Drosophila melanogaster: one gene and its partner. The protein of the gene in region 2 purifies or fractionates together with the protein of the main gene of each other region. This does not show direct contact. Each region holds a gene or a part of one and is shown on either strand. Other genes may lie near its edges.

Evidence for each region. Proteins that work in one complex are often made in the same cells at the same time.
Region 1: the proteins of Use1 (region 2) and koko purify together in Drosophila melanogaster (affinity purification with mass spectrometry, with the first as the bait; one large-scale study listed by BioGRID). This does not show direct contact.

The regions. Positions count from the first base shown.
Region 1 is NT_033777.3:18,399,803-18,407,639, reverse strand, and holds koko (kokopelli), read right to left. Parts: upstream 4,615-7,837; 5' UTR 4,574-4,614; intron 4,418-4,573; exon of another isoform or gene 4,121-4,417; 5' UTR 4,101-4,120; coding exon 4,018-4,100; intron 3,952-4,017; coding exon 3,807-3,951; intron 3,747-3,806; coding exon 3,195-3,746; 3' UTR 2,914-3,194; downstream 1-2,913. Other genes in the region: CG7685 (uncharacterized protein), read right to left, coding at 1,833-2,151, 2,215-2,420, 2,481-2,597; Wdr37 (WD repeat domain 37), read left to right, coding at 5,173-5,326, 5,447-6,008, 6,066-6,813; Vti1b (vesicle transport through interaction with t-SNAREs 1b), read right to left, coding at 7,420-7,629, 7,690-7,837.
Region 2 is NT_037436.4:9,133,233-9,139,065, reverse strand, and holds Use1 (unconventional SNARE in the ER 1), read left to right. Parts: upstream 1-1,884; 5' UTR 1,885-1,962; coding exon 1,963-2,314; intron 2,315-2,408; coding exon 2,409-2,765; intron 2,766-3,149; exon of another isoform or gene 3,150-3,164; coding exon 3,165-3,208; 3' UTR 3,209-3,357; downstream 3,358-5,833. Other genes in the region: nwk (nervous wreck), read right to left, coding at 64-293, 369-389; Dhpr (dihydropteridine reductase), read right to left, coding at 3,456-4,079, 4,176-4,259. UniProt on the Drosophila melanogaster protein: SNARE that may be involved in targeting and fusion of Golgi-derived retrograde transport vesicles with the ER. Required for protein secretion.

The DNA of each region.
Region 1 (7,837 bases), on a different chromosome or scaffold from region 2:
ACAACAGCAGACGCAGCAGCCGCCACAGGCGCGCCATCATCACCATCCGGCAACATCACACAGGCATCACCACCACCAACACCACTCACATCACCACTCGCACCACCATCATCATCATCATCAGTGTCGCTCGAAACGCAAACTGCAGAAATTGTATTATACGCTTTGCCGTTAGATCTGTAGCCTAACTATATCTATGTGTACTTGTACGAGAGAAAGTTTCTTAGAACCACCAGCAGCATCAGCACTTAGCTTAAGTGGAGTCACACCTACCACGTCCTATATATATTATATGTATGTCCAGTCCCTTCGTCCCTTCATTTTTTGTACATGTATTTATTTATTCCCCTTTTTGTTCGTATTTTGTATCTTTGATCATCGCATTTTTGTAATTCGTCCCAAACTGAAAGCAAAATCTCATCAGTGCAATAATATACATAATCCGAATATATATATATCTATATATTTATATATATGCGTATTTATATATATGCTGATTTTACAGACCTCTCTTATTTTATACAAACACTCCATGCTATTTATTTGTAATTGATGAAAAGATTTGTGATTTGCGCACATGATATAAAGTAAACATCGTAGAGCAAGCACTGTAATCGTAGCGTGTCTCAAGCAATTTATGTTTTAAGTACCCCAATGAATTTATACATCATCCGCACAGACGCATTAATCTAACCAGCCTAAAATCTAAATCACACACACCCACAAAGCCCTCTGATTAAGTATTACTTAGCGTACGTAAGCTAACTTTAAGTTGCAACTGGCAAAAAGCAAGCCACAACAACAAATGTACTTTACTTAGGTTGATCCCCAGTTTCCATCGCAAACTGGGGGCAAAGTATCAAATTTGTGAGACGAGAGCGTCGATAGCAATATAGCAATCAGCTCGTCCAGGCATAGACGACGTAGTTTTCTCTGATTGTGCTGGGCAAGTCAAAGAAGAAGTACTCAATGCAAATGCAAGTGAATAAAGTGAATTTTGCCAATTCAGATCCGAGAAGTAATTGTAAATGCGATGGCGCGCGTTCCTTAAACTAATTATGTATATCGATGTGGAGATCATTACCGCTTCCGCTTATCATCCAAAACAAGACAAGAAAGCCAGCCAAGAAAGCAAACCAAGAGAAAATCCAGTGAGACGTACTGTGCATATAAGGGAAAAATTAATTACACACAAAATTTCGTACCTTGTAGAATTTGCAGTTCAAAATTGCTTTAGAGTTTGTCGATGTACATTTTACGGATTAAACTGCACAAAACATTTTTAGGCAAGAAGAACCATATTAACTAAAATTACAGACGGTCGTAGATGTAAATTGAACATTATAAATGAAAACGCTGCGAATTCGAAACCAAAAATCGCGCAGAGAAAGTCGAGCAAAAAAAAGAAAACAAAACAAAAAAGGAATTCCCAATGTAAATTCTACTGATTTTTGTGAGTCTGGTAATAAAATGAATAAGCATATATGGATAAAATGGCAGCTTCTTTTTTTCACATGTCCACAAAGATCTAATCTTGCAGCTGCTCCTCTGGCACCAAATTAAACATAGTTTTAAACAAATTGTACACATTAAATCCATCAGATTCTTTGAATGTGAAAACTGGAACAGGCCACATTGTGTTTCTTGGAATTCGTTTCTTTTATTCAATCTACTTATTTTAAAATAAATTACAATTCTATTGTACTCGTACAAAAAATATCGCTTGTGATGCGCCGCCCGACATCTTCATCCTTGAGATTGGTGTCCTAGGTGCACAGGTGGAGGAGATGGAAGAGGAATGGGAGTGGGAACGGGGTCCCGTCGGCCTGCGACTACGCACAGTCGTTGGGACACTTGGTCGCCGTGCTCCACTCATCGCTGCCGTCGCAGCAGTCGCACACGTGGTCATTAATGCGGCTGCTGGCCACGTAGATATCCAGGCCCCGGCCCGTGATGTGACGCTTCTGGTAGCGACAGTAGAATCGCCCCTTGGCGCAGGCATTCGTGCTGGGCTCGTCGCTGCCGTCCTCCTCACAGTCGCAGTAGTTGTCGTTCAGGTGGTCGAACGGGATCTCTTTGGAGCCGTCCAGACACCGGAACTTGCCCTCGAAGTTGGGCTTGTAGGCGTCGTAGTCGAAGAGCCGTGTGCCCCTAAAGGATAAAGACGAGGATGAGGAATTTTCCCAAGCCAGCAACAATGCATCTACTACACACCTGACAATCTTGATGGGATCCTCGTGACCCGCAACAGGTGAGGTTTCCCCGCCTGCCGGAGCAACTGCATCGGCGCCTCCGCCATCGAAATCGTCCACGTCGCGCTGTTTGCTGCCCAGGGACTGCATCATCTGCTGGTGCTTGCGCTTGATCTGCTGCAGATTCCACGGAGCAGGCACTCCGGGCAGCTGGTTCAGCGAGAAGGCCTATCGTTATTGTTTACACATTAAACACCGTGCACAGGAAAATCCTTGCGAGACTCTCACCTGATACGCGATGAACGAAATTCCGACCAGGAAGATCAGCAGCAGGAACATCTTCGACTTCTGCTTGTAGAAGGGCTTGAAGTATATATTCTCTCGCTTCACCCACGTCTTACGCATATTGTCCTTGTTTTTTCGCTCTGGCCAAGTAATGTATAAAAAATATGTTTTGTTTACGAACTAGCATTGTTTTTGTACATGCCTGCGTTAGTCAACACTGCTGGGCTGGGGCTAAGGGTTGCCACCCATCCCGGAATTTAATCAAATACAGAGCGATTTATTTAAATTTGTTTGATAAAGTGTAATATTTTTTTGTAAAACTTTTAACAGCTTAAAAGTATAATGAATTTGATTGAAATAAAAGCGCCAAACACCTTTTTGCTTTTCCTCAGAATCTTAAAGCATTTCACAACTCCAAAGACCCATTAACAATATCATTTTTCACAGAACAATTGTTTATTGAATCAGTGTATAAATAAGTTGTAAACTTTAGATCTATCGTCTTCGCTGATAGGTAAATGTACTTTCGCCCGTCGATCACATAAGCATTTCATTACCGGTCAATTTATTTGTTTTGGCAAGGGCATGATGTAAATGCATTGGACATTTGAGCATATGTACGTCTAGTAGTATCTGAGATTGGTTTATGAGGTGGCGAGGGGAAAATAAATAAGTTCAGATGGCAGAAGGAATGGTTTTGGCAGTCTCTCTCAGCGATTAGGTGGCATTCAGGAAGCCCTCGTTCTTGTAGACCTCGATCACGTTCTCGATGATCTCCCACTGGTTCTCTCGGGTGAAGTCCTTGACCAAGGGCTTGTACCACATGGCGGATTCGTCGGACTCGTCGGTTAGCGGCACCTGGATGCCGTAGGTCTGGAGGGCCAGCGACAGGCACCCAATGGCCACATGGGTGGGCTTGTACTTGAGGATATTGGCGCTGTGGTGAAAGTCTTGCAGATACGAGGCGGCTGCCTTGGCAATGGGCACCGAGTTCCACACCTCAGTGCCCACCCAGTCTTGTAGGGTCTTCATGTAGTGGAGTAAGTACTTGTGGGCCAGATCTATGTTGAGATCGAAGCACAGGGTGCGCGTGATGAGCAGCTCAGCCTGGACAATGGCATCCCGCATCGACCAGTACTCATCGTTCAGGTCGACTGGATCATTGCCCCGGTTAAGGGTGCAGTATGCCACGTTGATGACATCGCGTATCTTGACACTTTCGTCTTCCTTAATTTTGCCAGCCAAGTACAGCGAGCCCGCGGCAATGAGCTGTGGATTCCAGAAAGTTTCTCATGAGATGGGGTCGTTTTGGGGGCATATATTACTCACGAACTCATCGTAGTCGCTGGCCTTGACCTCGCGGAAGAAGCGATGGAACACTATGGCCGCACAGGCCGCCGTCAGCGGTTTCATTTTCAACTTGGCAGCGCACTCAAAGATGTACATCGGCACCACGCCGGGTTTGTTCATTTTGCTGCGGCACAGATGGCACAGATATGTATATATTGGTGGTATCTTTAGATTGGATCATTCAACTTACCGATAGTCGATGGGCTTCATGGTCTGCGCCTTGTTCAACTCCACGTGCTGCTGCATCGACATGACATCCAAAACGTTTTTCATGCTGCTACTCCCAGGCCGAACTGAATGAAAGGATGAATGTGGGTGGATTTAAGCAATTTCGTTAACACTCGAGGAGCAAGATAAAAGCAATTGGACTGGTTGGGGAAATGGATGTGAACTGAGACCACCGAAAAGTCGAAAGGCGACAAACCGGTTTGATTGGGCTGCAGCGCTGTAATGGGAGATATGGTATCATATGCAGGGCGATCGGGAAAACTAACGGGCCCGAAGGTATGTCAGCTGTTCGATTGGAATCCAATACAACGGTGCACGGATTTGTTTGTCTTGTGGGAACTCCCAATGGTGTTTTCAAAAATAGTACCTACAACTACGGGCCAAACAGCTGTTCAAGTACACAGTGTTGATTAAGGATAATGCTTCCGTTTCAAAGGGTTATACAAGATAATCAACCCTAATAAATAATTACAGGAAAGCGCTGATCCATAGTTACATTTCTATTTGAATTTATTTACCTTCACGTGTCAGATTTGAAAGTCAGCAAAATTAACTAATTGTTTCTCAACACTAGTACTCAAACCAAAGTGCACTAAAAAAAAAACTTTGTTAATTGTACATTTTTATAGATGTGTTTTTGTTGAAAATTTTTCTAAACTAATTCATAACATATAATGAATTTTCAGTTAATTTTTACAGGATTTTTCGTTTTTATGATATAAATATATTTAATATGTAAACTGCAATTTCAAAATTATTTTATTTTAATTTGTTCAATTTGCTCTCAGTGTGCCACAGTCCGACTGTGCGATAATCGCACATCGATAACACTCGATACACACACCAGCTGTTCCGCCCGCTCCCCCCGCGCACAAAAACACCTGCAATAAGTATATTATCATTGCGAAAACCAAGTGCAACAGCAGTTCCCCAGTCAGCCAAAGAGGCAAATGCATCGCCAGCAGCGGAAGATGGATCAATAGAGCGCGAGTCTGCAACCCCTGAACACTAATTGGATTCCCCCGGGCGCTCTGCCCACCAGGAAACGGATATCGCCGACCAGCTCGGCTCAGAAAATCACTTGCGAGATACACAACAAAGAGGCGAAAAGAAAAGCATGAAGGCTAGCAAGACACGGGCTGTGCGCCTCACCAGTTTGACGGAGGACGTGGCCGCCGTACCGGAAGATGCACCATTCCGTGCACGCCTGCACGTCCTCTTCGCCCAGATCGAGCGGGAGTTCGAGCAGCTGTATCTGGAGAACCAGGCCCGTAAGTAGCTATATAATCCACAACTCCTTAAGGTCTCGTTCATAAACTTTAATATTTATTGCTTACATATGTCAAATTTTGTATAGTGCACGCATGATTAAAGCCTATTCTCTGTTATAGTGCAGGAGAAGCTAGACATAGCCACCACCACCAAGGAGTCATTGATTCCACCCGATGCCAGATCCGCAGCAGGAGGTTCAATGAGCACTCAGGCCTCATCCGCAGCTTTGGCCACGCCTGCAACCCAGACGGATGAGGTGGCGGGCAGCTTCCTGGCTGCAGCATCCAGTACACACAAGAGCTTGAAGGCCAAACTAAGCAGCGCTACCGGCGGCAGCAAAGCCAAGGCCAGCAACAAGATCAAGGCCCAAACCAGCCGCATTGTGTCCAGCTTTAAGGCGCCCACAGTGGTCAGCACGGTGGTCCGAGAATTCGGCGGCCACAAGGATGGCATCTGGCAGGTTGCCGCCAAGGCGGGACAACCCATCATTGGCACCGCCTCCGCCGATCATACGGCCTGCATCTGGGGCGTGGAGAGCGCCAGGTGCCTTTTGCAGTACCAAGGGCACGCCGGCTCCGTAAACTCCATCAAGTTCCATCAGCAGCGAGATCTTGTGCTCACCGGCAGCGGGGATGGTACTGCCCACATCTGGCAGGCGGCCGTCAACTGGGAAGTGCCCAAGTGAGTAACTTTGCAATATATTTTATAGTAGTTCAATAATCGTTGCATGATTTTCAGGAAGGGCCATTCTTCAGAGGAGGAACTGGACGACAGTGATGAGCAGGTGGAAGATCGCGATCGTGTGGACACCTTACGCACTCCGCTCTGCGAGTTCACAGGCCCCGGCGGTCATCTTTCAGTCGTGGTGGCCGCCGATTGGCTCTCTTCGATGGATCAAATCATCACGGGCAGCTGGGATCGGACTGCCATCCTGTGGGACGTGGAGACTGGCCTGCCACTGCAGCCGCTCACTGGGCACGACCACGAGCTCACCCACGTGTCGGCACATCCCACCCAGCGCCTGGTGGTCACCGCTTCCAGGGACACTACGTTCCGTCTATGGGACTTCCGAGAGGCAATCCCAGCGGTCTCCGTCTTCCAAGGGCACACGGAAACGGTTACGTCCAGTGTGTTCGCACGCGACGACAAGGTGGTGTCCGGATCAGATGATCGTACAATCAAGGTCTGGGAGCTGCGCAACATGCGATCCGCCTTGGCCACCATTCGAACGGATTCCTCGGTCAATCGTTTGGCGGTCTCCACTGGTGGAATTATCGCCATACCGCATGACAATCGACAGATCCGACTGTTCGATTTGAACGGGCAGAGAGTCGCCCGATTGCCACGGACCAGTCGGCAGGGCCACCGACGGATGGTGTCGTCTGTAGCGTGGGCGGAGGAGCCGCTGCTGGACTGCGATCTCTTCTCCTGCGGCTTCGATCGCCGCGTTTTCGGCTGGTCCATCGTTCTTCCGAAGGACAATTGAAGGCAACTGAAGCGGAGAGCTGCTGCACCAAAGGAATGAGGAGGCGCAGCTCTGCGAAATCCCAAACATCTCTCGAACAAAGAAGCATCCCCAAAGCGATGCCCACATACTTACATATATGTAACCGTTTATCATAGATCAAGTATTATGCAGACATTGTTCAGGATGTTCTACTATCTCGTTGTCGCCCACTGAATGTAATTAACGTTGCTTTTTGCCAAATAGTCGTGGCATAGCGTGCTGCACGAACTACATATTATCATTGTTATAGCATACGTATGTATATGCGTTGGGACTGGGCTAAACTCTTCGGAGTGCAGAGCTTCCGATGTCCAGACCCGATTTTATCTGTGTTTTACTACCATAATACATATTATAGACGTCTAAGGCATTAACGCTTTAGCCAACATGAATAAACATAATCAACCACCCGATTCATCGCTGGGTATATCCTAAAACTGACCTTTTTGAATTGGAAGTGCATTTTAGTGGAGTATATACATTTATAAGCTTATTAACTAGGACAAAGAATTCGTAACGATTAATAGGTATATATAGTCCATCGCCTGTTTGGTGGTTACGACTTTGGAATAGAATGGCATTGGCTCACAGGTGAGCGAACTTCAGCACCAGCAAGCCGACGAGTATGCCCACCTCCAGAATGATAATCAGGATTAGGATGATCTTGTTGTAGAGCACCTCCCTGCTCAACTTCCGAATGATGACCCTCGATTTGGACAGATCCTGATCGGCGTCCTCCAGGCGGCGCGTGGTGCGTAGCAGCGACTCCCTCTGCTCGCCCAGTTCGCCGAGTACCTGTTGATGCGTAAGCGAGCATTAGTTAGCCCTGTTAATGGCTACTATCTGGGTAATTACCTCCGCCCCCATGTTCTCCGTTTCGATGGCAATCTGGTTGGATCGCTGGATACTGTCCGTCGTCCGCTGTAGCACGTCGTAGGTGCTGGCCGCGAGCTGCGCCTGCCTGCGCTCCTGGTCGCTGCCGCTGGGCAGCTGGCTATAGCCG
Region 2 (5,833 bases):
TAATTCAAATTGACTGAAGGTTCTCGAAAGAACGTTACTAGTTAGCTGGAAAGCAATACCCACCAGCGTTCCTCCATGCCCTCCATCTTAATATCTGGTATATTGGGTATCTTCTTGTTGAGATACTGCGATGAGATCTTCAGCAGCGACTCACTGTATGACTTCTCGACAGCGGAACGCTTGATGGTGAACTGCCGGATGTCCTCCAGGAGGTCGCATTCATGCTGATTCTTCAGCTGCAGCTTGGCCACCTGCTCCGTGTGCAAATTCTTGAGGAATTTCACATAGTTTCCCTGCAGGATTACGAGGTATACGATGAATGATTATTGTGGAACTATCTTTATCAATTCGATTTATTTATGATTTACCTTACGCGGCGGCGGCTGCATCATGGGGCTTTTTCTACGACAATCGGGTCACTCTACAATTGGCTTTTTTTTTCTATTTTAGCTCCGACTTAATGGTGTTACATTACCTCTAGCAACTGTAAATAGTATGATTGCTTTATGAGAGGATATGATATACGGGTATTAAAATACGATACGATATTTAAGATCCCATCTTATTTTTTTAATATAAAAAAATTTATATTTCAGTGGCTTAAAAGGGGAGATTTATTTTTAACGCCATGACTTATATCAAAGAATCTAACATTATCAAATTAAAGATTAGATAAAATGTAGCCCTACTGATATTTATTATATATATATATTTTCCGATTATTTTTGGCTGTGTAAATGGGTGGTGTTGGTGGTACATGTGGGTGGTTGTGTGGTCCTTAAGCCGTTAATAGGTTCGCTACGCAGCAACGGGTCTCAAAACTTATGTAACTGAAATGCAATGATAACTGACATCGAAACGCAAAGGAAATCAAGGGTTTTCTTCAAGCTCAAATCTAGTACTATTTTTAGCTGGAAATTTTCACTCGGGCAGCCCACGCAGCAGCCCCCCTTTTTTTGGGGGTATCGTATCGATTTCTCTGGCCCCGGACTAGCTTATTTTTTTTAAGCATTTACACCAACTACGTTATTCAAAACACTTGGCTAACACTTTTTTTGGACATGGCCGGTTAAGATGGTTGTTTTTCAGCTGGATTAGTACTTTTTGGGATTCTTATCGCTGGGTTTTCACTGAAATTTGTGGTCTTTTTCTGGGCAGCTAAAATCCGTTGCTTACTTATCGATTTCGATTTTCACGACGTTTGTGTGAGAACTTTTCAACATGCACCGTTAACTGCTGGTGCTGCTGCGCAAGAAGAGACCGCCAAAGAGAGCGGTGAGAGAAAGTCGAGAGAGAACGAAGTCGTGTTTCATTCATGGCCTCTAGTACCGTTAACAAAGAGGGTGAGTTTTATTGTTTTTGCCCCGTCAGCTGTTTGATAACACCTCACTTGCGTGTAACGGCACTTAAGGAAAATGAAGAAAAAAAAACTACTATAAAAATTCAACCTTTGAATGGTATGCCATTTGATCTTGACACCTGGCGTACGACAACAGCTAAAACAAAAATGTGCGTTTGCGTGAAACTACTCATATGCTGTGGCTATCAAAAACGGTTTAATTGATAACTTCAGATATTGGCCAAGAGGTTTGATAAGATTTTCGAGTCGCGCCCAGAAGTATGCATGCAATAATATAAATGCATTACGTTATCTTGAGAAAGTAGACATAAGCTTATAAATATGGCATATTGGGAACTTGATGTTTTTTTTCAAAAATTTTTAAAAATTAAATTTTAACAGGATTAGAAGATTATTTGTTTGTTATGTTTTTTTTACTTTATACATTTTTACATTCTTACATTTTACATACACATCCTCAATAATTTTTCATCACTACTCACGACAACCTATCGATAAGTTTCTATCGCTAATAGGACCAGCTGCTGACAACAAATAGGTTTCGACCTGGTATTTTAATTTAGGAATTTGTACTTTGTTGTTTTCATGTTTTCAACTTGAAAATGGCCACGAAGCTAAATGTAAATATTCGCACCCTGCTGGCCAACTGCGAGGAACTGGCCAAAAGCGAACAGAACTTCTGGAGGCTGCAGAAGTTCATTAAGTCCCTGGACACAATGCTTGCCGAGCTGGAGGCGATGGGCGATCCGCAGAGTGTCAAACGTATCCCGGGCTACTTGGAGCGCCTACAGGCCCTTAAAATATCCACCGGATATGCAGACGTTCCCGGTTCCACAACAAAGACTCCTTCACAATCCTCAGCCGTCAGCGAAACTGGGGAAAATGCACTGAAAGAAATAAGGCAGCTGCAAAACAGCAAATATCACAACGAACTGCGAAAGGAACTGCTCCAGGGTAATAAAGAATTAACAAACAGTTTTGTACATATTTTAAAATTTCTTAAATTCAAAAATGTAATAGTTCATAACTTAAAAAACATTTATTTTAGATTCCGATGCCCTGCGAAGACGTCGAGGAGCAGATGAATCCTCCTCCAGTTCTGGAAGCGCAAACGTTCAGGAAACTTCTGGTGAAAACATGAACCAGGCTGCCAAGTATTATACGAATGCCCAGGAGAAGATCACCGAGCACATGCTCTCGCTGACTCGGAACTTAAAGGAACAGACGGAGACCGCCAACAGGATTATCCGAAGAGACACGGAGGTTGTGTCGCGTTCCGCCGGAATGGCGGATCGCAATATCAATTCGCTAGGAAAAGAGGCTGAGAAACTGGAGCAACATTCGAAAAAAGCCTACAAGTGCTGGCTGTGGCTGATGATTGCCTTCGTAATTGCCACTTTTATAGGTGAGTCATTGTATTTTGTGGAAGTTTTGTTCAAGCTGCAAAAAAGAACCCCTCTTGGAAAATCCCAATTCATTTACTTAACAAATATACCTTAAGTTATCCAACTCAACAACACACATTTAAACACGTTTATAAACCAAGTTTCCTGAATATGTTAATCACAATATTATAAATATTCATTATAAGAACGAAAACAGATAAATAGATATTAGATTCCATTGCTATTATTATTGTATTTAAACTGAATACGAAAACACTGCGAGTCACTTCACTTAAGCCAAATAAACAAGTTTGCCGTGACTCAGTTTGAAATTACATTTCTTAATTGGTTCGATTTATTGCAGTTCGATTGTTGCTGCTTAATTATACTAATGAGTTTATTACCCTTTCAATTTACAGGTATGGTTTTATTCATGAAGATTATGAAGAAGAAGAAGTCGTAGAAACAATTTCCAAACTAAGCAAACTAAAGATTGTACTCTAAGCAAGCTTTAAACGCTCGTTAAGCTCCCGAGTTCAAGAGGTTATCCACCCAAATCGTGTAAGCAGAACCACATTAAACGATCGAAAGCCGCCCAGCGATTTATTTATGAATAGTTTATGTACAAGCGAAAGCGTTTAGATTATGGTTTTTGAGCATTTTTGTTTCATCATTAAGTGTCATTTGGATTCGTATCTGTATCTCTTAGCCTATTCGGCAGCGATAAGCTGCGTAATGCCGTTTGTGGTGATCAGCTGCAACAGGGATCCAGTTTTGGGCCTCTCCTGATCTTGGGTCCACTTAAGGAAAAGTCCGGCCACCTCGGTGAGCGGTGTCCAGGTTCCAAAATCTGCATCCGGCATCCATTTACGGTTCATGGGTGTATCTAGAGTTACGGGAAGTATGGACACAGCCAGGGAACCAGCTGGCAGACCGGATTTCTCAGCGCCCAGCGAGCGGGTCAGCTGGTGGACAGCTGCCTTGGCCATTCCATAGCCGATCATACCGGGTGTGCCCTCCAAAGCGGGCTTAGCTCCAGTGAGAGCCAGCAAGCCTCCGGCCTTTAGATGCTGAGCAGCCACAGCTGCCGAAATGGCGGAGGTCAACACGCTCTGCTTCCACATGAGATCGGCATTCTTGGCCAGATCCTTCTTGGCATTACCACCTGCCCAGCCGCCAGCCACGCAGATGACGGCATCCAGTTTCTCGCCGGCAAGGGATTCCCCGACTTTGGACACCACCGTTTCCTCCTGTTCCACCCAACTAGCATCGCGTGGCACCACAATGCTAACGTCGGCCTTCTCGTTCTCCGTCAGATCGATGCTGCCAACCCACTGATGGATTATCCAGGTGAAGGTCGTAGTTGACGCGAGGGAAAACAATAGATAATGAGGCAATTGTATTTAATAATTAAGTGAAAGGTAACTCACATAATTGTTGGCTTTAAAGTGATCGACACAGGCCGAACCCAAGGCTCCTTTGCCACCGTAAATAACCACTCGACCTGCGGACATGATGCGTGCTGCCAGTTTTAAAGTTGCAATTTAACTAAATGCGAGAAAAACACGAGAACACCGATTTTGGTGAGTCAAAATCGTGCGGGAGCTTTGAACGCAGCTGGGGTTTTTAACCGCAAGACCAGTTCTACCGGTAATAATCGGGAGAATGAATTTCAAGTCGAGTTTAAGCTTCAGCGTGCAGATATAGCTTTTTATTCGCTACAAAAAGATACAGCAGCAGCAACAAGTGGAAAATCAATAAGATGACCAGAAAACGCACAGCAAGGTCACACTGTCGTGAGTAAGGCGTTATTTGGTATTTTTTTTTTTTGGTATTCCACAGCTGTTCGCCGCCAACTTTACCCGTCTCGCTCACGCATTGCTCGCTGCTCTTTTTTGAAAAGGGAAATGCGTGAAATTCGTGCGCCGCATTTCCACCAGACCAGAGTTACGCGCCGTAGCTGTGTTTTCCACTCAGTCCCACCAGTCGTCGTCGCGTTACGTCATGGACACTCTAAAATATGAGCCACTTTCGAACTACAATGTAGTTCAGGCAAATAGTGAACACAGAAATAAAACTGTCTTATCTCAATTAAAGAAAAATTTCCCCGAATTGTTTAAATCACAATTAGAAAATATATGCAGCGAATATATAGATATATTTGCATTAGAATCAGAACCTATAACAGTTAATAATTTGTATAAACAACAGTTGAGATTAAAAGATGATGAGCCAGTATACACGAAAAATTATAGAAGTCCTCATAGTCAAGTGGAAGAAATACAAGCCCAAGTTCAGAAATTAATAAAAGATAAAATAGTTGAACCATCAGTTTCACAGTACAATAGCCCTTTGCTATTAGTACCCAAAAAGTCAAGCCCGAATTCTGATAAAAAGAAATGGAGATTAGTAATAGACTATCGCCAAATTAATAAGAAACTTTTAGCTGACAAATTTCCACTACCGAGAATAGATGATATTTTGGACCAACTTGGTCGAGCAAAATATTTCTCCTGCCTTGATTTAATGTCAGGTTTTCATCAAATCGAACTGGATGAAGGCTCGAGAGATATAACATCTTTCTCAACCAGCAATGGCTCATATCGTTTCACGCGATTGCCATTTGGCTTAAAAATAGCGCCTAATTCATTCCAAAGAATGATGACTATAGCATTCTCCGGAATAGAACCGTCTCAAGCATTCCTTTATATGGATGACTTAATAGTCATAGGTTGTTCCGAAAAACATATGCTTAAAAACCTCACTGAAGTTTTTGGTAAATGCAGGGAATACAACCTAAAGTTACATCCTGAAAAATGTTCATTTTTCATGCATGAAGTCACATTTTTGGGACACAAATGCACAGACAAAGGAATTTTGCCGGATGACAAAAAATATGATGTCATTCAGAACTACCCAGTTCCACATGATGCGGACAGCGCTAGACGTTTTGTAGCATTTTGCAATTACTACAGACGTTTTATCAAAAATTTCGCCGACTATTCGCGGCACATAACAAGATTATGTAAAAAGAATGTTCCATTCGAGTGGACAGATGAATGTCAAAAAGCATTCATACATTTAAAAT